Linked DNA regions of Struthio camelus. The protein of the gene in region 2 interacts with the protein of the main gene of each other region in a pairwise test. Links are inferred from orthologs where the notes say so. Each region holds a gene or a part of one and is shown on either strand. Other genes may lie near its edges. The genes, in order: GRAP2 and GAREM1.

Region 1 (11,568 bases), on a different chromosome or scaffold from region 2:
CTGAATTTGCTCTTGTATCTATATATGTGCATGCACATCCGTTTTCATGCAGGTGTAGGGCTCTACAGTCTTTATCCTCTGATGTGATCTACTCTTACTACATGACTGTAATCATGAAGGATAAAGGGGGCATCAAACCATGTTTGGGGGGCTGTGAAATCCCGAGACTACTTATCCTAGAACTCATCTTTGGTGTAATTACAAGTACCTTCAAAGCTGCTCCGAACCACACCAGCTGTGAATAGCTCCAGGGAACCATTCTGCTAGCAGCAATAAGTTGCATGTAGCAGCATCCTTTTCAGGTTGTTAGTACACGAGGCTGGGATGAGGAGTGATGCTATATTTCAGCTGTACTTCCTATCCGAAAGGACTTCCGAAAGCCAATTCTGAGGCAAAGGAATCAGAAAATAATCTAGAATCCAGCATTATGAGATTAAAATCAACCAACCAACCACCAACTACATTAACCAGTTATTAACCACATTAACCACCAATTATAACATTAACCCAACAAACCCATCTACAGTTAGATGCAGCTATTCAGAGATGCTTTCCTTGTATTTGGATACCTAAATATGGACCAGATTCTAAAGAATACTCAAGATTCATTAGACCCAGCTTTGAAAGTTGTAAGAGATTTACAAAAAACATACAGCATCCAACACTGTTTGGCAAACAGGAGTAACTAGGAGCTGAGCTCTTCTGGTATTTGTGCAGGTCTGCATGTGAATACACACTAGACATACATGTGAATGGCAAATTCCCTTTGTCTGCGCATGATCATACATTTCACAATGTGAAATGGAAATATAGACACAATTCTGTAATTATTCATGCTAAAGTAGGAATGAATAAGTTCACCTTATGTCTCTGGTTCATTTCCACAACAGTCAAGAAGAACCTCCTCTCTTCATGTGTGACTGATGATGGATGCAATAGGAGGCTATCATATCCTTAATTTTGGGCAGAGTTAGGGAATTCGTTACATTATGGCATTAATCCAGTCTGATAAAAATAGTTTATACTCCTATGTTGGATTCTATGATACAGCAATACAGTTGAGTGGCATATGTGAACAAAATGGTATTAAAATCTGCCTGCATATACTGCTGGGTACATAATATTGCGTTTCAGATCAGCTGCTGCATATTTCTCTGATCATGCCAGCTGATAGAATTTTGAGTAAAAGAGGAAAAAGAATGAGATCAGTGAGGAAACTGCTGTTTTCCTTGCTTTTGCCTAAGATTCATCCTGGCAGCACAGACAATTGTGCAAAATCTGTCACTCCACTACTAAAATTACATATGCCAACAGATAAAATTTTGCACAAAAGTAGAAGTAACGTTAACCCAGTGAGAAAACGTAATCCTTCTCTGTCCTTTTAACCGTAGATCTATTTTTGTACAAAATGGCAGCTGCCTGCGCAAGTTGTGTTTTTTACTGAAAAGTTTTTGTCTCATCTCTTTTTCCTTACATTTTTTTCCCTTCCTCTTGTGCTTTTACAACAGGATTAAATATAAAAGTCTAGTTCAATATAGATTTCGCTATGATAATGTAAGCACAAGCATAGGAAATCTGATAATTAGGTTCCAAGAGCCATCTTATCTTGGTCATGTTATGCATACTTTGCCAATTTCAGCTTGCAGCCATGTTCTGAGAGTATATACAAATTATATACAAAGTTTCACATTTAAGTAACTACAGATAACCTGAAATGTTACCAGAAGTACGTACCATGTGACATAATGAGCATTGCTGTGGTACCTCCATTGCGTACTGGCACCAATTGCATACGTAACTCACATTCTGAGCCTCTGTGTTGTATTAACTATGTCTTTTCTTCTTAAGGTATCTTGTGGGCTCAACTTCTATTTAAACACAGCACCCCTTTTACAAGGCCCAAGTGCTAGAAAAGAGCCTTTCTATAAATTAAAGTCAGCCCATGTGTATCACACTTGGGAATGCTTCTGAAAGGATTTTAAAAGCAATCAATTATAATAACACATACATTTAAAGATGCAACTCCAACAGTCCATCCAATTTTTCTTCTGATTATAAAGTAAACATGAATGCCAGCTTGTTACTATTCCCAGGGATGGTCTCTGCACAGAATTTTTACCATTTTAAGCAGAAGCGTGGAACATATTTCATATTTGTCTATGCATTTTTAGCTCACTTGGATTATGATGCATTTGAAATTAAAGTGTAGCAGCAGTTCCTGAATGATTTAACGTGTAGACATTTTTTACTCTGAAGTGGGAGCGACTTGTTCTTGTTTATCTTAATCCAAAATTGAGCTATATCAAATTGGAATAGGTTCTCATCATCTGGAATAAAAATACCCAGGCAATACCATGATGTAGGAATATCGGTTACTGAATTACTGTGCAGACTGAGACTCAATCAAACACATAAAGTTCCTTTAGGTAGATCAGGCCTGACATCTTACAATTCACGTTCCTACGGCAGAGGCACCTTCACAGCAGTCAGGCTAACTGGAACCTCACTGCGTAACCCCTGCACAGCCTGCAAAAATAATCACAGCCTCACTCCTTCTACGAGCAAGTGATCGATTGCTGCTCTGCAGCAGCGAACCGCACAGCCTCTGACTAGTCAACAGAATGCATGTGGCAAAAAGGGAACGCTGCGCAAAGGGTGTGAATGAGTCATTCGACATTTCAGGTTGCCTGAAGTCATTCTGCTACATTTATTTCTAATCTTGATGGGCTATCCACATTTGCATATTAAGCAGGATGAGAAGAGAGAGATTTAAATTATTCGCTACGATACACACATGGAGGACAGCAGACTGCATGTGTGTGAGAACGTGGGCTTACATGCCTGTCCGCGGGAACAAGGCAGCAGGTGACTTTTCCACACTTGTATGTGAGCAGGCATTCTGCCTGCAAGCCTGAACACGTCTGAGCAAAAGTATGTTCGAACATGTGTTTCTCTAGGGATGTGATTATAAATGAAAGATGTTCATTTGCGTTGTGCCTGAATGGCGGAACAGAGGTCCTGTGAGCATGCTTCAAGTGATGTGTGTTGTGTTTTCCTTGGCAAACACAATTCTGAGCAACTGCAAACGACTTGGTCTGTGTACTCTCGGAGAGTAGACAAGTGTGCTGTGCGCATGGGGCTGACAAGGAGCACCCCAGAGCATGAGTGCAAGTCAGCTGAAGCTGCAATTTAGGTGTTAGTCAAACATCAGCAGTAATGAATCACCTATTTAAAGACTTCCATGGAAAAAATGCACGTCAACCTCTTCAGGTAGGATCTGGCCTAACATTATGCTCCTCCACTCCTGGTTATACTCCCAAGGAAGTTAAAGCAGAGAGTCTGACTGCTGGTAGCTCACACTGAAGTCCCTGTGATCCGTGCATACTTAGCAGCTCCGAGCATTAAGCCATCTTAAAATACGTGCTCCTCGATGAGGCTTAGGAGCCTCAGGTTGTACTTGGAGTTGAAATTTTGGACAAAGACACTCACTTAGCCCTCATTTAAGAAAAAGACCTATCTATCAGTACGGAGATGAAGATCTGGTTGAAATATCATGCAGGAAATATTTTCAGAGGTTGAAGGAGGTGAACATAAAAGATACTAAATGAGACTACTCAAGGTTATATCGCAAGGAGTAAATGCTTTAAATGGAAGATGGAAAATTTGTTGTGAATATGGACTCAGTGGGCCACATACGAACTAAATCTCAAAGAGATGAAACATCAGTTGAGTGGGGCAAGCAGAGCTCTGGGATCTTGCCTCAAGCTAAAAGCAGTCATATTTAGTTTTGCACGGAGCCAACAGTGTATTTGCGCCCAGAGCAAGAGACTTGCAGCATGCTGCATAGGTAGAGGGCACTGTCAAGATCTATGCTATTATTTTTATTTGTTGGTAATATCCAGGTTATTGCACCCTTTAAATTATTAAGACTTACTGCTTAAAGCACTGCAGATCCATCCCCTCCCCTTCCCCGATTCTGCAACTTAATTAACTCAATTAACCTTGGTGAATTAATAGAGGCTGGACACTGTCTCCTTCAGATTTAGTCACTTTTGCTCAGTGCTGCAGGTGCATACAGAACAATGAAGGGCACTACTTAAATCTCCAAACAGAATTGCTTTAATGGAAATGACAGTGTACCTTTATGGTATTTGTATTCATATTAAGTTTCATACCCTTCATTCTCAGAAAACCTAAACGCTGGGCCTAGTCTACGTAGCTTCTGTCCTATTAAATAAAGCTTATAAGAAGTGAGTACAATTCTGCTTGAAAAAAATCGGAAAAAATGAATTATTCTGTTTCTTTGGGTTGCAATTGGAGGCATATTATCGCAATTCCAACTTACCCAACTAGGCTTATATTGGCGTTGTACAGAAGATAAAATGGAATGAGATGGAAATCCAATGTCTAGTCCACTCCAAGGCACACAGACTGAGGTACATAAAGATCTAATAGCCATCGGTACTAGTGTTGAACTGAGGGGAGACTCCACATAAAAGAACTCCTTATAGCCCACATGGGTCTTGTGTAGAAGCGAGGGGTAACACACAGGAGGCAGCTCTGGATGTGCTGAGGATACCATAGCACAGGGAATGAGGGCAGAGAGGCACAACATGATCTACAGCAGACAACTGCAATCCAGTTCACAGATCCCCTGAGAACTGACTTCAGTCCCACAAGTTTGCTTAATTATGAGAGAACAATCGTTTCACCTAGACTTTGCTTTCAGGCTCAGAAATGGGTATGTAGACATTTAAAGAAACCACCTTTTGTGTTCAACAGTATCCTATGGTTTTTGAGGAGAGGACAACAAGCTATTTCTTCTATAACGCAACAAAGTATCATGCACACTTCTTTCTACAATTATGCTCCTGAATACACAGTGCGGACAGCAGTTCTGTCATCTAAGAATCATCTCATGAAAAGAGTTGAAAACAAAAAAAAAATGGACATGATATAATATTGACAGTCTATTGCATTCTTTACTGCATTTCTATGTTACATCTCTTTTCCTTACCCTTTGCCTGTCTTTCCTATTTAGACTGCAAGCTCCTTGGAGTGACGGGCAGTCGCAAATGTTATTCTTCCATATGGCGCAACTTAACAAAGCCCAGTGGGTTGGGACCGTTTGTAGAATCATACAATAATTAAGACTGAAAGGAATCTGTGGAGATCATCAAGTTCAAGCCCCTGCTCATGGCAGGGCTAACTTTGAAATTATACTAGATGAGGATGTAACCCCATCTTTCTACAGTGACTGCTCTAATGGAGCACCAGTCTCATTCAGGCAATAACATAAATTATATGCCTTTGTAGATCAAAGGCATACTGAAAATCATTTAGGTACAAGACCTGCATTAAAAGATTTGAGATTTCCTTTCACTACGCACCTTACAAGATTGTAAAAAACATTCATAATGTGCTATTGACTTCAGTGCAAGAGTTTAATTATACAATTGCATATTATCAAAACACATACTAAAACGAGGCTAGCATTACAATCATCATTTTCTGACTTTTTTTGTGCTTAATACTCCATTAAAAATCATTATTTGTAGATAGAATTCAGACCAGAAAAAAAGGAAAAAGAAGAAAGGAGAAGAAAATTCCAGAATGGAAAAATAATTATGCAGTCTAGAGACTGTAGAAAAAAATTGCTTGGCTATACACTGCAGGATGGTCTCTCATGTACCTTGTACGGTCTGCAAGAAGGTGCTCCTCTGCTAGATACCTTAGAAAGTCTGCATAAGAAAGTTTCGAGAGCTGCGTGCTGTAGGAACTGTGCAGCTCTTGCCCTTCAAGATGCATCGTGAGTGTGGTAAGGCTCTGCAGTGGGAAACCAGCCAATGGCAAGAGTTACTTGTCTCAAGACTTAAATAAGCTCCATGCACTGCTACAAGGTTTAACCCCTCAAAATACAGATTAGTGGTACGTCTGAGACAAACAAGGTGAATTTTATCCAGCGTGAATACATCTAAAAACACATTCAATACCACACTGCTGCTTCCACATGAAAAAAAAAAAAAAAGCTCACTGCGCTTCCATTTTCTATTACTGTTTCTATTACCGTTGCTTCTACTCGTATCTATTTTGCCTGCTTTAAGATTAAAAAACTGTAATGTTCACTTTCACTACTATTGCATATCTTGCTATATTTGATTACAGTAGGTTGCTTCTTTCGTCTGGAAGATGAGCCCTGTTTTTCAGTCCGCAGCTTTTCAAAAATTAAGTTATATTAAAAGTGATCATCTTTGTAAAAGAAACTAAACCGCAAACATCCCCAAAGCATTCACTCAATTTGGAAATGTTGTTTCTTGGTTGCTAAGTCTGGACAGCAACCTGGACAAGCTGGACTAGCTCATCTCTGCAGCTAGTCAAGGAAAGAAGTAGCTGCTCAGTCCTTCCAAAGCTCAAGGCAATTAAATGTCTGAGATTGCATAGCAGAAGTTGATGCATTCAAAGCCACTCCCTTATAAAATGTCATGCCAGGTTTGTTTAGACTGAGCAGGAGAACAACATTGCAAAAGAACATTTTGCTCAAAAGCTAAAAAGCATTTCAAACTAAAAAGTAAAATTAAACGTACTGAATTCAAGAGATTCCCAATGCATTTTACAAACCATGAATTAAATTCAGACTCACTTTGCATTTTTGTTATCCTGATTGGCTTCATCAGAGGGGGATGCAGCAGTGCTAGGCAGGGTGGAGGGGCCACACACGGCTGTAGTTTCTCCCTGGTGCATTTCAAAGGACTACAGCTGCTCCTTTGGCTTCTCTTGTTAAAACTACCCAGTGGTTTAATTAAGAAGCCCTATTATGAGCTTTTCTCTTGCCACAGCCTCCTTGAGACTAGCACTTCTCTGGACACTTTCTGGTGAGGGGTAGTTGAGTTAGTAAGCATGAATACTAAAGCATGATGATCGTGTCCTTTGATCCTAGCTTTGCGCTGGAGGGCACCTCCAGTTTGGCCGCCACTTTCCCTGACTCTATCTATTCCTTCTCCTAACAATGAAATCCATCCTCCAGTGTTTTTCAGCAGTGCACAGCAGGCTAGAAGCAGAAGCAACAACTGCCCAATTAAAATTGAAATGTCAGATGTGCAGAAGGCAAACTGAAATCTGCCCGGGCTATCAGGGCAAACACCTTTAGTCTTATGCAATTAGCTGAAGGATAATTGATGACCACAGGCAGTCAAAGCCACAGTTTTGAGTATCAAGTGCAAGAAATGTGCTAGGGCATATCATTCAGTACTGATTCTCTCTGAGTCACTAAACCCATCTCTTGAAGTGCTGAGGTTTTCCTTAGAACTCTCCCCAAAATTACCAGATAAAATCACAAGGTGCTTAAAAGACTCCAAGTGGTGTTTACCAGTGCGCTACCACTCCCAGGGTCTCTGTAAGTTATGGTATATATAAAACACTAAGAGGCCTTCAGCTGGCTGTGGTGAGGAAAGGAATCCTTCAGCCCAGCGTGGCCCCCCTGATGATTTATTACAGTGACACAGTAATAATGCAGGTAAAGCGGACAGCAGGTGTGGGGAGCTCTGAGGTGCTACCAAAGAGGCAGAAAGCAAACCAGGAGAGGAACTCTTCTTCTGGAGTACCAGTGGCCTCCCAAAGAACCACCCCAAACTACTACCCCAGTACAACAACACAGAGAGCTCCCTGTTCAGACAAGTCCTTCATCTTCATCCCTCTGTGCTTCCCTCTCTTCATTCACCTCTCTCTTTAGATTGAGAGCTTGTTGAGGCTAGGGTTTTCTTCTGTTATGACTTTGCCTTCACTGCAAAAACTGATGTGTTTTTCTAACACAACAGCTATTGCATAGTAAATTGCCAAAGAAAACATTATCTTGATGTAGTGACCTGAGGTACCTTCCAGGTAGGGTATATTGTATTTACCCTAGCAAGCCTCAGTGACATGAAGTCACCAGCGCTTTCTCTTCGCTGAACTTCCACATTAAGGTAAGTACCTAGAGGAAACCACTTTAATATTAAAAGCATGCCTACTTTTCGCAATGAAGACATAACCTATGTCAGCGCAGAGCATCCAGCGTCAACAGTGTCCAAAAGACAGCCGAAGCCTTGCTGTAAAAGAACTAATTAATAATAGAGCTTTGGGTGCTTAAGGCACGGACCCTCAGACGCTATGGATAGTTTTGCACAGAAAATTTGGACAAAAGTTCTTCTGAACCCATTCTGCAGTTGCTATTATAACAAATGATTAACCTCTTCAGACAACACCTGTACTTGCTTCAGTCTCGTTTCCCACAGCAACCTCAATAGCCAAGAGGAGCAAATCAGAATAACGTTGAAAAATAGTTTTAAAAAAATCAGAATAAAATTTATTAGCAAATATTATAGGAGGTACTTGTCATGTCTGTGCAGTTACAGCTGAGTGGAGTTTTGCGTTTAAAGTAAGGATTCAGTGTCTTTGTTATGTATGAGAGGCACAGCACACATGAAGAATTACAGTACTAAGAGCACATATTGAATTTTCTAAGAATTTACAGGTAAATCTATTAACTAATTTATGAGATAAAATTACTTCTAAATATGGGCCCTTTAAGAAACTTATTGCTTTGTGTTTGATCTTCTGTTTGTTTCTATGATCTCAAACATGGAATAATCCAAATCTTCAGACTCCCTAAAGATCAGTAAAAACTGATCAACATTTGAAGATCTTTCCGAGATTAATAGCCCTTTTTCCCTCTACCATACTTCTTACTGAAAATTTCCTCTTCAAAAAAACCCTGGTGTTCAATTTTTTCCTTCAGAGAATGCTACAAAGTGACCTTTCAAGATACTCGATCTGCCCACAGCTAGAATGACCCTTTCAAAATATTCATCATTTCACAGCAGGATTTTCTCCTGACAGGAGAAACTCCATAGTCCTTCAGCAGGGACACTAGGCTTCACTTCTGCTGGGAATAGAGAGAAGTAGTTGCTGGCTCTGAATGATGAAATTTTAACTATGTGTGGTGGTATCAGTCCCACTGAGAATTACCTTGCTGTGATGTCACGGAAAAGAAAAAATATTTTCTTAAACATTATTCAAAACTAATCTGAGATCACAAACATTCAGAGGCTTTGATTATTGCATGGGCTCATTACACAAAAAGGAAAAGACAACACTAAACCATTTAGGCATATGGGAGACAGCAATATATGCTCTCTCAGATCAGTAGGTGAAAAAAGTAACCGCTGTACATGGCTGCTGCAGAAGGTAACGACATGACAATACCTATACAATCTTCAGCAATGTAATATTGCCTGTCTATTCATCTCCTTCTACTAAGAAACTCAAAGTACTAATTACTTTAATGAATTAGGATTCAACTCCTGTTCAAGATAGGAAAGTAGTTTGAGACTACATTTATTTATCCTCTACAATAAAGTAAATTAGGAGAATTTCTTTCGGGTTTCACAGATTTAATCTCACAGATCTGTTACACTATTAGGATTATTCAAAAAGAAAAAGCCAAACATGTAATGGTTAAAGGATGCCACTATTTTTATATATATTAACTTAAATACAGTCTGACGCTTTCACACTGTAAACTTCTCACCCTGTTAGAGTTAGGATTGTTCCACCCCTATATAGAGCTCTGAACACTTGGCTGATGGAGGGTTAGGTCACCTTTCTCAGAATCATTATGTTTTGACCCCTGTTTGGGTAGCGTACTGGATGTAACAGATGGATAGTCTCATCTGGTACAGCAAATCCTATGTACAAACAGTCAGACAGAATGCCTCCAGTATGTTAGCTTTAGACACTATACTCTTCTACACGGAAAAAAAGGTTACCAGAGCACATTCATGCATAGAGACAATTTTAAAAGTTTGTCCACATCCTGAGATAATCCCTGTTTAGATTACAGGGGTTATGGCAAATTTCTCCTGTGCCAAAACTCAGCTGTAGTTTGGAGGTGCTATGACCTGGAAACGTATTTAATTTGATGTTGTTCTTTATGTAGCCAATTTTTTTAAAATAAAGGAAGTCTAAAGCTATAGGGGTTAAAGTCTGTACTCTAAGCATCGCTGGGGAATTTGTCATGCTGAGATAATAAAAAATTGGGGAACTGGCAAGGAAAATCTGGAGAACACAAGGCATATAGTGCCTCAGGAAAAAAAATGGCATGTAATTAGTACTGTACACTGCTCTGAAAAGATAAAGCAGTATGTAAAAAAGGTTACAGAGTAGGGGAGAGGGAGAAAGGATGGATTTTGCAGCTCCAAGAGAGGGAAGAAAGGATTTCATCATGTATTGGTGCATGCTGTTCATTTAGGCATTCTAGTCATTTTCTTTCATCTCATAATACTTCACAGTGCTGACCTGTGATCTCAGTGCCATGATAATGTGGCCATTCTTAGCAAGCATATTTCTCAAAGGTTAGTCTCCCCTGCTTAGATGTTATTTAAATGGTGTGTTAGCATGATTCTTTAATCAGCAGAATGATTAAGAAAATTTAAGGCTACAGGAAGAACTCAGACCCTTCCAAGATCACTTTCCTTCATTCTCATCTTCTTGAAATTCTCATCTTCACCCTCCGGAAATAGTACTTACAGTGACTGTGCTTCAGAGACAAGGTTCTGAGCTATAGCCAAAAGAAAAAGAGATACCCTTCTTTTCACCCAGATTACCCATCTGGATATGCCCGATACCCCTGGGACACTAGTGGCCAAACATCAGAAGCATTTAAGTAAAGCATCAATCCACTACAGGGCTCGTATGGTTATATCATGAGAATAGCTTGTAACTTAAAGCATGAAGGCTATAGTACATACACTTGTTAGCCTAGCTCATACCGCTACAAGTTTTATTCCTGTTCGTGCAAGTCCCTTTCCCCCCTCCCTTTTAAAAAGTACTTGTTTTAAATCCTATTTAAAATGAAAGTGCCACTATAAAATGCAGAAACAAGGCAGTTTTGTCTAGTGATTAAGGAACAAGATCAAGAATCCAGGGAGCAGTTTCCAGCCCCAGACCAGATAATGATTTGTTGTGCACCCCTGGGCAAGCCACTTCAGGGCTTGTGTAGGGCACGTCCACATAGTACGGTGTCACTGCGTATGGAGATATTTAAATGGCTGGGGTACCGAAAGCCATAAAGCTCAGTTCTCAGAAGGCTAGTTCGTTTTTACAGACCGTCTAGCTAGTCAAGTTAGTATGGCTATAGTGCTTCTGCCATCTTAGGTAACTCAGCGATACCACATCCATGCACATAGGCCTGACCTTAGTTATAAAGTGAGAGAATTCATACCGACCCATCTCAAGGACAAATGGGCAAAATGGCCATCGACAGACAAAAATGTACACAGACAATAAGATGAAAGGCCTACACAGGAAAAGCAAATTTACCACCATATAACCCCTGATGGGACTGTGTATTTCCTTTGCTGTTGCCCAAATTTACTAAGAATGGCGGAAAACTAAGCTGAACAAACCAAGAAGTCTCCTGCAAGGGAGCTGCAAAGTAAAGATTTCTGAAAGATATGGGATTTATGGATGCCATTTGCGCTGACTGGAATATGGCTTGCAGCCAGCCCTGAGCTTTAAATCAAGTGTGTGACA
Region 2 (11,951 bases):
TATCCTAGTCCTAGATCAGCCAAACATGCTCAGTTGTAGGAAGGTGTTTGTTTAAAGACCTGCAGTGATGGAGATTCCACTGTCTGAGTAACTTTACTGAGTAATCCTTACTTAACTGGTTTGGCAAGTAAGAAGTTTTCCTAATACCTAAAGTAACTGCTACACATGGAAAGCAGGTTTTCTTTCTTCCTCATGTTTGTGAATACCACGGTCTGGCACCGTCTCCTCTTTAGACCAAAGAATTCCAGTCCCTCCTACCATTCCTTAGAGTCTGGGTTTTCTAAATCCTTTGCTGTTTTTGTTGCTGTCCTGATATTTTTGAGTTGGTCCTCAACTATCCTGTAGTACAGAGCTCAAATCTGAACACCATATTCCAGTTTAAATAATAAGGGCTGGATAGATTTAAATGATTTCTTCATTATCTTGATGCTCCTATTTATATATTCAGCAACTGCGTAAGATAACCTGATGTTGCTAACTGTTCACTTTGTGATCCATGATGCCTCTTTTCTAAAAACTGCTTTTTCATCCTGATACTTATTTGTGCCATTGATTATTCCTTCATACGTGTAGAATTTTGAATTTCTCGTTATTCAGTTGCCTTTCATTTTCTCCAGTTTGCCAAGATCTTTCTGAATCGTAATGCTGTACTCCAGCATAGTTGGAGCCCCTTCCTGTAGATGTGGTCTTCAAATGCGAATAAGTATACTCTATTTAGTCATCCAAGATGTTGATAAAAATACTGAAGAGTTCCGGACCCAAGACAGATCTCAGTGGAATCCCATTTGATACGTTCTTCCAGCTTGAGAATATAAATTATTTTGAAATAATTTTGCACTTGTTTTATATACTTCTCTAGACCATATTCTTTTCAGGTAAGAGCACAGTATATGAAACCCTATGATCTTCATTCTTTCTGCCCTCTCCACAAAGCCCGCTACCTCCTCATAGACTGATCTCACATTGTTTGGTATTGACAGACATTGTTTGGTATTGACAGAGGAGTCTGTCACTTCTCACTGTTACTTCTCTTGTCTCTGCTTTCTAGATGGTTACAAATGGTTGGATTACCTGTTCAGATCTTTCTGAGGAGTGGAAATTAAGCTAATCAGTCTGCAGCGCTCTCTCCTCCTTTCTACCCTTTAAGAGAGATGCAATGGTTGCCTTCTCCAATTTTCTGAACCCTCACACATCCTCTTTTGATTCTTGGAGATAGTCAGTAGCAGCTCTAATGTTGCTTGAAGCAGTTTTTTGAGTACCTAAGGGATTTCATCGGGTCCACTCTGCTCAAAAATCTTCATCTAAGTATTTTCCAATCTATTTCTTCATTATTCTAGCCTAAACTCTTAGCCCTTTGTCAGTAGTGCTAGTGGTTGAATCACATCTGCCTTCTTAAATTGAAAACTGAGATTAAAAAAGACATTTGGGATACTGCTGTCTGGGCATCATCAGTGAATAGATTCCCTCCAGAGAATAACATTAACTTTTTCCTTGGTCTTCTCACTGTGCATTTTTCCAACATCCTTGTTATCTTTTAATTCCAGTTATCTAACATTTTGAGACTTGATCTTTCTGGTGTTGTCCATACATGTTCTGCATATTTATACATATTGACACTTTAGTAATTTGACCTACTTTCTGCTTTGTTTCAGGTCACTGAAAATCTTCCAATTCAGCCAAGTTAGTTTGTTATTTCACTTCCTCTCCTTCCTCTGCAATTTTGCCTTCAGCAGTGGATCTTTAAGGAACTTGAAGCTGTCTTGAACTCACAGTTCTCTGAGTTTAGGTCTGCGTTCAGTTCTTTGTTTCTATTTTGCTGGGGTTTTTTTCCTCCTCTTCTTAAGACTGAAATTCACAATGAAAATAAACATATAAAAGATGGTCAGATTGATCTGTAATTTTAATTTCTCTATAATTAATCGGATTTTCAAACTATGGAATTCCTTCTGTATGTTATTCATTCTCACAACGTTTTCTATTTCTTGTGGCTTAGCTGCTGTCCAGTCACTGGCCTGCCCTAGGGAGGTACAAATTATTTAGGTTCCTAACCACAGCGAAGGTTGGCAGGACCCTACCCCTTCTCTGTTTAACACTCCAGGTAGCATTATTCCTCTCCTCTTTGCATTTTTGTTCTCCTGCACTGAAGCAACTTCTGCCTTTTTCTGAGCACAAGCATTGGGAGTATTCCTGGTCTCTGTCCACAGAGGTGTGCCACCACAGAAGAACTACTCTGATTAGACAGGTCAAAAAAACCCCTACCAAACGGCTACACAGTGTGTTTGGAGGCATTTACCCAATTAGAAAAAGGGTTGTAAGTTGAGAGCGTTATCTTCATTTACTTCTGAATTGTCTCTTAAGCTGGCTGGATGATAGCGTCACACAAATTTCTACTGAAGGAATTTTTAGAAGAAATAATGGTTAAATGAGGGGTTTGACTGGAAAAAAAAAGGATGCCTCTTACAATGAGAGAGAAGATAAAAGGTAAATGTACATACCAGAACGGCAGGTCTCTTTACAGTACCTTGTAGGAGCAAAGATTGCTTGGATTTTACCAATAAGACAGGAATAGTGTTCTCTTTCAAAACATGAGATACGCAGACATCAACTATACCAAATATGCTGTTCTCTTTCCACTTTCCCCCTCACCGCCAAGAAAGGTTTAAGATCCAGTTCTGAAATGATTGCTGCAGCTCCTCTTATTTTAAGTGGACTTGTGAACATTTACTTATCTGAAAATCAGGTCTGCTGTAAATGCAAATCACATACAGGAAGAAGGAGGGTATTTCTTTTTTTCTGTAAAGAATTTATTTTAAAGAAAAACTGTCTGAAATGGCTCCACAGCTAACATGTGAAATTTACTGTATAAGGCACATAATTTTATTTGGTGTATGCATATTAAACTGTAAAGCAAGTTACCAGACTAAAAAAACAGTTTCTTTTGAACAGCTCCATTTCAAATGCTACCATAGATATGAATGGATGATGACCTGAAACACTTTAAAAATCTTTTTACTGGCAATAGAATAAATATATTAGAGATTTTATAGCCTGCTCTATAACTGCATTGCTAAACAAACATGAAATGTTGTCAATTCAAAATGCACTTGAGAATAATTTCAGGAATTATTCCGAGTCCCCCTGCCACTGCTTACTTTCATGACTACCATTTCTTTTAGATACAAAAAGACTGTCTCTGAATGCTGTCTGAAAGACACATACACAAGAACTAAGGGCTCCTGAAAAAATGAGGCCCTGATCCTGAAATGGATCTGCTAGCACTCATTTCTGTAAAGGTTTATTGACTTCATTAACTTAATTAGTATTTTGCAGCAGTGTAGGAGACTTGGTAAGAGATCACACTAAAGGTCTGAGGCACTGCTAAACATCAGGGAAATGATTGTATCTAAAGTGTTAATTATACATAAGGTGCAGTTAAAACAAGGAAGAGGCACAGTTTCATATGTGCTTGTGATTTGAATGCTGTACATGTAATATTAGAATATATTTCAAGAAGGTTCAGCTACAGTATAATTAGGGCATGTAACAAGGTCACTCTAAGAGCTCTAGTGAAACAGTTAAATGCTAATAAGCTTTATGATGTTAGTTTGCCTGAAAATAACTAAATGAAATTTAGGCTGTGTCGAGAATTTACATTTAAAAAAATGCATTGTGTTCAAATAGAATGGGAAAGAGTATGTTAGGTTTCTACAATTAGAAAGCAAACAAACAAGAAAGGCTTAAAAACTGTATGACATATAAAACTGCCTGAAGAAGGAGAAATTAATCTTTAAAAAAAAATTAGCAATTGCTATTTCAGGTGTGAAAGATACATTTCTTCCCAGAAAGCAGAACTGCATGATGTTTGAGAGAAGCATATGCTGTGAGACTGTATCTATCCTGGAATTAACGCTGGCTAAAATCATGTTTAAAAGCAATTCTTCAAGCAATTCTTCAAGTCCTGGTGAATCCCACTGCATCCAGTAACCTTGTCAAACCTGAAAAAGTTAAAACCATTATTTTGATTTCCATATTTCACATAATTATGCTTTTAGCTATTATATCACTTTGCACTTCAATAGCTCCATTCACTGAAGCTGTTCAAAGCATTTTGCAGACTTTGTAAAAGGGATGCAAGTTACAAAAAAAAATCCACAATCCGTATGGATATTTTTAATGCTGTTATGATAACTAGGATCTAGTAGCACCATAACTGAATTGAGAGAATTATGGTTTGTCATAATTAGTGCTGGGAAATCCCAGTGCCTTGTCAAGGTGGGGTTCCAACCAACCCAGATCCATCACGGTGGAGAGCATGCGTGCAGCACCAGCTTCTCTTTGCCATGGAGCAGAACAAGCGCGTATCTGTCTTGGCCCTCCATGTGCCTGTGGTGCTGTTGGCACCAGCAGTGAACAAAGACACTCAGCAGGGCTGGCTCCTTTAGAAAGCACGTGAGGAAGCAGGAAGGGCAGGAGAGCTATTTGCACTGCAACTCTTGCGAGCTCTCGCCCAGCAATCGCCAACAGCCTCAAAGACAGATACCGCAGAAGACAGATCTTGGAGAGAGAGCCTAGTTGTGGATTTTTTCAGTCCTTTTATAAATCACTGGAAAGTACTTTTATAACGTTCCTAGTCAATCAGACAGCCTTAAGCATAGCAGAGCTTACTGTAATCAAATTTTCAGTTTTGATACAAAAGTGAATTGAAATACACTCAGCATACCACCCGGGAGTAAGTTTTCCCTGTTGAAGCTCCCCCAGTTTCTAGTCTAGCAATCTGGAGATGTTACACCTACCATAGGAAAAAAAAACCCCACAAGATTACAAGAAAAAAATTATGAAGCTTATATAAGGCTTCATTACATAAACCATTCCGAAAAGAGAACTAGTGGTTGATTTAAAATTTTCCTGTGGCCGGAAGATCACAAAACACCCACCCGGTGTATTTAATACTTGCATGTGCACTAACAACAAGTCAAAGATCTTGCTCTAACTTCTGTGTGTTACTCTTCATACTTTAAATATTCATTTGTGGCTCACAGCTGAAAACTAAAACAAGAGATACATGATCAAAGTTGTCATTTAACTGGATTATTCTTAACGTAGTATGAATTTCACAGGCAAATTACCTACGGTGAATAGTGAGAAGACTTAATGCAACATACTTGCTCAAAACCGCTTTGATAAATGAAGTGAAACATGTTATCTACTTACTGTACATTTAAATGTGTGTACAGATGGATCTCCCTGTCCTCTTGCTTCCTTTTGCTTATTTTACAGGGGAGCGGCACATGTAAATCCATGTGCTCGAAGAGACGCCAGAACCTTTCTAAGTTGCACGCCAAGCACGTTAAGGGCAATTAAATGATGCATATCGCCTCACTTTGTGCAGTGCTACGGCCTCCCTCGCCGTAGCCTCCCTTTCCCAACCCCAGTCCTGGGAACTGGCTGCAGGGAGAGCACTCCGATCGTCTTTAAAGGTCACAGCCTGGCTCCAAGGCGTAGCTTGATCTTCCCCGCCGCCCGCACCCCCTCACGACCGCCGGGAGGGGGGGGGCCCACACCCCCTGCGGCCGCTGCTGGGCGAGCGCGGCCCGGCCGGAGGGGGCCCCGCAACGGCCGCCCAACGGCCGCCCAACGGCCGCGCGGCGCCAACCGCTGCAGGTCGGGCGAGCGGTCGGAGGGTGGAGTGAGAGGGACAGGCTCGGCGGCGGCGGCAGCGGGCTGCGGCGGCGGCGCTCCCCCGCCGGGCGGGTAGCCCGGCACTTTCCTTTTTGGAGCGGGGAGGAGCGGCAGCTGCGCAGGCGTTTCTCGCACCCTGTTGATTAGTCAGTGCTGGGATGGCGCTTCCTGGGCCAGGCACGGCAGCGGGCAGAGCGCCGGGCGGCCCCAGCCGGTCCCGGGGGGCGGCGGCGGCGGCGGCAGCGGGAGCAGCCGCCCGGCGGGCGGCCCCTTCTGCATAGCCCGGCCCGGCATGTCCCGCGGCGGCCGGTGCTGAGCGCGGCGGGCGGGCTCCTTCCCTCCCTCCGTCCTTCCCTGCCTGCCCCTCTCGCCGCCTGCCCGCCCGCCTCCCGCTGGCGGCAGCCCCCCGCCGGCGCGGCGCGGCGGGGCGCGGCGCGTCTGGCTGCCCAGGCCGGGCGGAGGACGGGAAGATGGACCCCGGCCCGCCGCCGGGCTGCAGCCTCAAAGAGGTGAAGTGGAGCGCCGTGGCCGTCCCCTTGGACCTGCTCGTCAGCACCTACCGGCTCCCGCAGATCGCCCGGCTGGACAGCGGTGCGTGAGGCGGCGGCGGCGGCGGCCCGAGGCGAGGCGTCTCCCCGCGCCGCGGGGGTGGCGGGGGGCGCGGTGCGGTGCGGTGCCCGGCTGGGCCCGCGGCGGGCGGCAGCGGCCCGGCCGCGAGTTAATGGCCAGCCGCGGAGCCCGCCGCGGGGCCAGCCGCGGGGCGGGCTGGCGGACCGCGGCGGCAGATTCTCCCGTCCAGCCCCAGCCGGAGGGAGCCGGAGAGCGCTGCGGCTTCCCGAAACGCTGCCCCGTGCGGGCTCTGCCCCGCAGCCAGCCCTTAACGTGGGGTCGGCGCAAAGCTAGGGCTTCGGTTGGGGTCTTCCTGCGCTGCCTTGCGTCAGGATATCTGGGTTTTCCCCCCCTCTGCCCCCGCACCGTTACTGCATGTGTCGAGGGGCACTCGGGGAAGCCTGCGCTGCCAGCTGCCAGCCCCCGAGAAAGGTCCTCGAAGTCGCCAGTTAGAACATAGAAGGGCATTTGCAGTGCTTAAAGACCCCATATTGCGTTGAAGTGATGCTGTGGTGGCTACATCAAGGCCAAATAAGACAGAGTATTAAATAACAAAGTGGGCTAAATCACAAAATATCTGCTTGCCGTTTACTGGAAAAGCAACAGACCTGTAAAAGAGAGGGGTAACTTGAGAGGCCTTTTAAGTCTCCAGAAAACTTTTTATTACTCTTCACTTGTATTCTAACCTATGGTTTCGAAGTCTGCATGTTTCTGTTCACTTCAGGAAATCAAAAATAGTGCAACTGAATGGCTATCACAGCAACATCTTACTATTCCTACATACTTCTCTTCAGAAGTAGTAAGCTAGCACAGAGAACTGAGGAAATAATCATTTGGGGGTGTGTGTGCGTGGGTTTTTTGTGTATTTTTTCTTTATGACGCTCAAACAGCTGATGTATGATGCTGTGTATGTATGTTGTGTGGTAGCCCCATAAAAACTGTCTGACTCTCCCAGCCCTAAGGGAATGCAGAAGATATCTCAGAAATCAGGAAAAATTTCCAGACCTTATGATTCATTAGCTTATGAAGTGCCCTCGCAGTTATATGATCTAATGGAGCAATTCTCTTACAAAGTTTTGTATTGATTTGGACAGTTAAAAAGGGGCACAGGAAATGTCTTCTATTACTATCCTGTGTGCAGGTCAAGACCAGGATTGGTTTATTACTTAACTGCACTTCCCATAATCTTGCGATGATGCAAGCCAGGGTTTTTTTGACTTTGTCCTTTGGTTATGCAGTACATTTCCTATCCCTTGTAGTGCTTTCTTGGAGCTGGTGCTCAGGAGCAGGTTAAAGAGAAGGTTCTTTGCCTTTTTAACTGCATCTGACTATTTTTCATTATTATCAGCCATACACTGTCCTGTGATTATAATGGCAAAGCTGCTATGTTAAAGAGTTCCTCCTGTGGTAATACCTTTTGTCACTTGAAACAGCTAACATGGCCTCCCAGTCTCTGCACTTTAGGCTGTCAATTTAGTTGAGATTGCTGGCAGTGATTCAGACTTTAATAGGCTATATTGATGACTTACTAATTTCCCTGTCTCTGTGTTATACTTCTTCCTAACCTCCCCATTCCTCTTGACCTGTCTCATGGAAAGGGCCCTGCAAGAACTTTGAGTGCAGAGAAAGTTGATGAGTTATGAGGCTAGTATCCCCCCCCCCAGCTATTTCCCACCCTTCTTTATGGACTTTTGTGGGGAGGGGGTGGGCAAGGTGGTCTCGTTTCAGAACTGGGGACAGGAATGCACCATAATTCACCATAATTGTTGGGGAGACAAAAATGATGCTAACTTTGTGCAAAGGCTTTTTCTCCTGTGTGCCACCCTTAAAGCATATGGGCACACACAGATGGAAGTAGACAGACCTGAGCTCTGTTGAGCATGCCCTGAGATGGCCAGACATGAGACAGCTGTTGGTCTGGCTGTATGAGTGAAGGTCCAGCCCTCTACTAAATCCTGCTAAAAGGCAGGCTTGGATATAGCACTGCAATAAGTTGACAATTTGGCTTTTGAACTGGAATTGGTTCAGGTCTGGCTAGTTCCGAGTTGGAGCAAGGGCTTGTGGGTCTGCTTTTACCTGCTCATATGGACATACTTTTTCACTTCTGGAATGACAGATGGCAGACAAATCAATATTTTATAAAGAATATAGATGCCATAGTCTCTCTGGTACTAAGAGCAGACTTTTTCTATTTCCAAAGGAAATTGTCTTGCAGTAAGAGAAAAGCAAGCCTTGAGTCAGCATGTGGTCTGCTAAAGGGGAAAAAGTTGGGAACATGCAATATTTGTGTAGAGTCTGGAGCACCTGCTGTTCCACGGTCATTGGTCTTCATCTCTGTCCTTGTCTTGCTAAGTGGAGCTCTGTTGGAGAGCTTCTTGATAACATACTGATGAAAATAAATTACAAAGTCCATTCCAAATGCATATTATCTGATGCTTATGAAGTTTAAGGCTATCTCTGTTAACCAAGTAGTGTCTTGTACCAGTTTTATCAGGATGCAGTTCTTTTCTCTGCACCACTGAAATGTACAGCTTGTAGATACTCATCCACAAGTCATAGTTTTAGTTTACACAGAAGTGACCTTGTCTGTTCATTAGGTGCTGAATTCCTCTTGAGGCCAGTGGAAGCTGCACGTGCTTTATACTGTTGGAAATCAAACAACCTTCAGATGTCTTACGTACATCCCATTTAGATTTCATAGCTAGCTAGTATGTCTGTGGTAGCTGGTTGTTTCAGTGATTGTGAGGTTTTATCAAAGCCAGAATTCATTTTCTTTGGAGGACCAGGATGTAGAAGGGAATTGAAAAGTTGGTAACATATTTTCTTCAAAGACGACAGCCTTACTGTGTTGTTTCTACATTTCTTAACGGAGGTGAATGCTCGGTGGATATTATTCTTGGATGATATGCACATAAGGTCCTCAGTCTTTCATTGTTGCTGCAGCACCTTTAGGGCTTTCAGATTGAAGTGGGGAAATGGATATGATGAATATTTCCAGTTGGGGTGTGAAGCTCCTGGAAGAATGCCCTTAAGTAGTTCAGTTTGATTTCTTGACAGAATGAAGTTATGAAATATTTATGTGCACTAAATTCAGTCCTCTCCTAGGAAGGGAGGGCTTTTTTTGATGGTATGGCGTAAAGGAGGAATGCGAAGTAGTAGTCTTATGTTAAGGTATCTGTGGAAGTAGTTAGGCAACCATGTCTGCCTTATCTATATAGAAATGAGAAATATGTCAACTTTAACTGTTTTTTTTTTTTTTAATATGAAAATTTAAGATTGCTTAGCTGGGTTTCGGGTCATGTTTTTGGATGCTCATAAATGATAAGTTCTGTACTGTATCATTTTGAGGGTCACAGCTTGCGTAGTGTTTCAATCTACTCTTGTATTTTAATATTTTGCTGGTGAATATTTGTATATTAATTGAACAAACTAAATCCAAAAACACAATGCTCTCACCCCTTAGAGAAAGGGAACTGCTTTTTCCATGTTCTTTCCAACATCTAGTGGCTTGAAGATTTCTAGAGGATAGCTCAAATATAAAACTGTTAACACCTTACCAGTGAAAATAGTGAAATCCAAAGGATGATATAAAGTTCATTCAAGTAGGCTGTTTCAGATGGAAAGAAACAAGATTCAAAGAGTGACAGATGAGCAATTTTTCTGTTGTATTTTCTTCTATCTTCTCTCCCTGCCCGCTCCTTTCCTCCCTCCCCCCCCCCCGCCCCGCATCCCCACAAATTTGTGTTGTAACAGCGGAAAGCTACCCCAATGAAATTGAGGGACTTATGTGTGGGCTCAGTGAGAAAAAAATTGCACTCTGGCAACTAGCAGCAAAAAGAGCTTTTGTCTGAGTTTGGTTGTTGCAAATACGGCGAAACGTGACCATAGCTGATATTGGAGAAGCTTGGATGCGCTTGGAGGTTTGGATTGCCTGTGTTCAGATAATAGTAAAAGAGGCTAAAAGTCGTTGTATGGTTGTATTTTTTTGCTAATCTGTAACGCTTAAGTGATGTTGCACGTGGTTATCTCAGGGTTTTAAATTTCTAAAAACTATTTTTCTAAGGATAATTTTAGAGAGCTAAGGAGAAATGCTATCAAGATTAAGAGCTGGAAAGTGTCGCTTTGCGTAGAGTTGACCTTCAGGCCTAGCTTTTCTGCATGTAAGCTCACTGCTCTCTTCAGACTCCAACAGTCCCTCATTTTTTACCCAGTGGGAGTTCCTTTTACCCTGCCACTACTGCTTAATTTCCACAAGTACTTAAAGAGCTGACTATGCTATCAGTTGTTTTGACCCACAGAATGGGTATGAACTAGAAAAGTTCACAGAAATGCACAGGTTCTCTATGAAGACTAGATTTTCTGGGATCAAGAGGGGATGCAATCCTCTTTTTATTTATTTTTTTCACAAGGGACAATCGTACTTGCATATGCTCCAGAAAATGTGTTATGGAAGCTGAAGCTCTTGGGATCGAAACATAGTGGCACTTGTTTGGTTGTGTGAAGACCTCAGCTTGCACAGAAGTGCTTTCCTGCTATGCGCTATAAGAAAACTATACTGAATTTTTCTGGAGTGGAGTCTCTAGGTCCTTGTTGGTCACTAAGATTCAGAAGGAAATTCATCTCTATGTGGTGTAAATGTGTGGTTGCTTTAAGATAAAATGACAGAATTAGTGACAATAAAGAGAGGGGGGAAAAAAATCCGTAAAATGGGTGAAAAATCTGTTTTAATTTTTTTTTCCTTAGCCCTGACTACACTCTTGTGAGTAACAGCACTGGGAGAGTAGTGAGTTTGTCTTGCTATTGCTGTTGGGGATGAAGAGGTTTTATTTACTGCACTATAATTCCCAGTTCTCCTTGGTGGGATTCCACACTAGATGCACTACTTCCCCCCACCCCTTTTCCCCTTAAGGTATTCAGGTGCCCTCTTTCTCTCCCGTTTCAAAAACCTTTCACCGTGATGTCAGGCTACTCTATTCCCTTTCAGTGGACTGTTGTTCCTTACAGCACGTTATTGCAGGGCTTAATCTGGTTCTAAATGTCTTGAAACCGAACACCCTTGTAGCTTATCAAAGAACATTATACTAAATAGACCAGCGTGGCCATGTACATAATGAAAATTTCATATTGCGTCACTCCACAAATGTGGGTTATCTGTGAAGCTGAACAATGTTTTGAAACTACAAAGAATCTTATTCTTCTAAGGTCTGAGGGCTGATATCCAGGCTTTAATTGTTGTGAATGATCTTCTTTCAAGCAGCTATTGCAGAGTGTCTCAGTAATCCATTATTGATACACGGGAATAAGAATCATGTAGGGGAGGAGTAAAACTTTCAAACAGACCAAAAAAGAGAATTCATATATGCTTAGACTCTGAGCAGCTGCCATGGTCTAAATTACTGTTCTAGGTATGGCAATCTGTTGTGTACTCTGGTAGATGGCAGTTCGCTTGTATATTGTGCTGATAGATAAGAGTCTCTTGATCGAAAGGCAAAAAATATCCCTGAGATATGGTACATCCTTGTGGTTTGATTTCTTTCCTAAGCAGCTTTAAAACTCTAACTGTTTATACTGTATGTTCTGCCATTAAAGTATAATCTCAGAATCATCTCCTTGTCTTCTCTTTTCTTTTTTCCCTCCTTTTCCTTGTGGTCTGTTGATTCTAT

Evidence for each region.
Region 1: the proteins of GAREM1 (region 2) and GRAP2 interact in binary tests that used the Homo sapiens proteins (3 or more experiments, as listed by UniProt). The link is inferred for Struthio camelus from reciprocal best matches to the Homo sapiens genes GAREM1 and GRAP2.

The regions. Positions count from the first base shown.
Region 1 is NC_090942.1:57,584,115-57,595,682, forward strand, and holds the start of GRAP2 (GRB2-related adapter protein 2), read right to left. Parts: upstream 5,832-11,568; 5' UTR 5,809-5,831; coding exon 5,693-5,808; intron 312-5,692; exon of another isoform or gene 209-311; intron 1-208. UniProt on the Homo sapiens protein: Interacts with SLP-76 to regulate NF-AT activation. Binds to tyrosine-phosphorylated shc.
Region 2 is NC_090943.1:142,630,227-142,642,177, forward strand, and holds the start of GAREM1 (GRB2-associated and regulator of MAPK protein 1), read left to right. Parts: upstream 1-6,082; 5' UTR 6,083-6,149; coding exon 6,150-6,270; intron 6,271-11,951.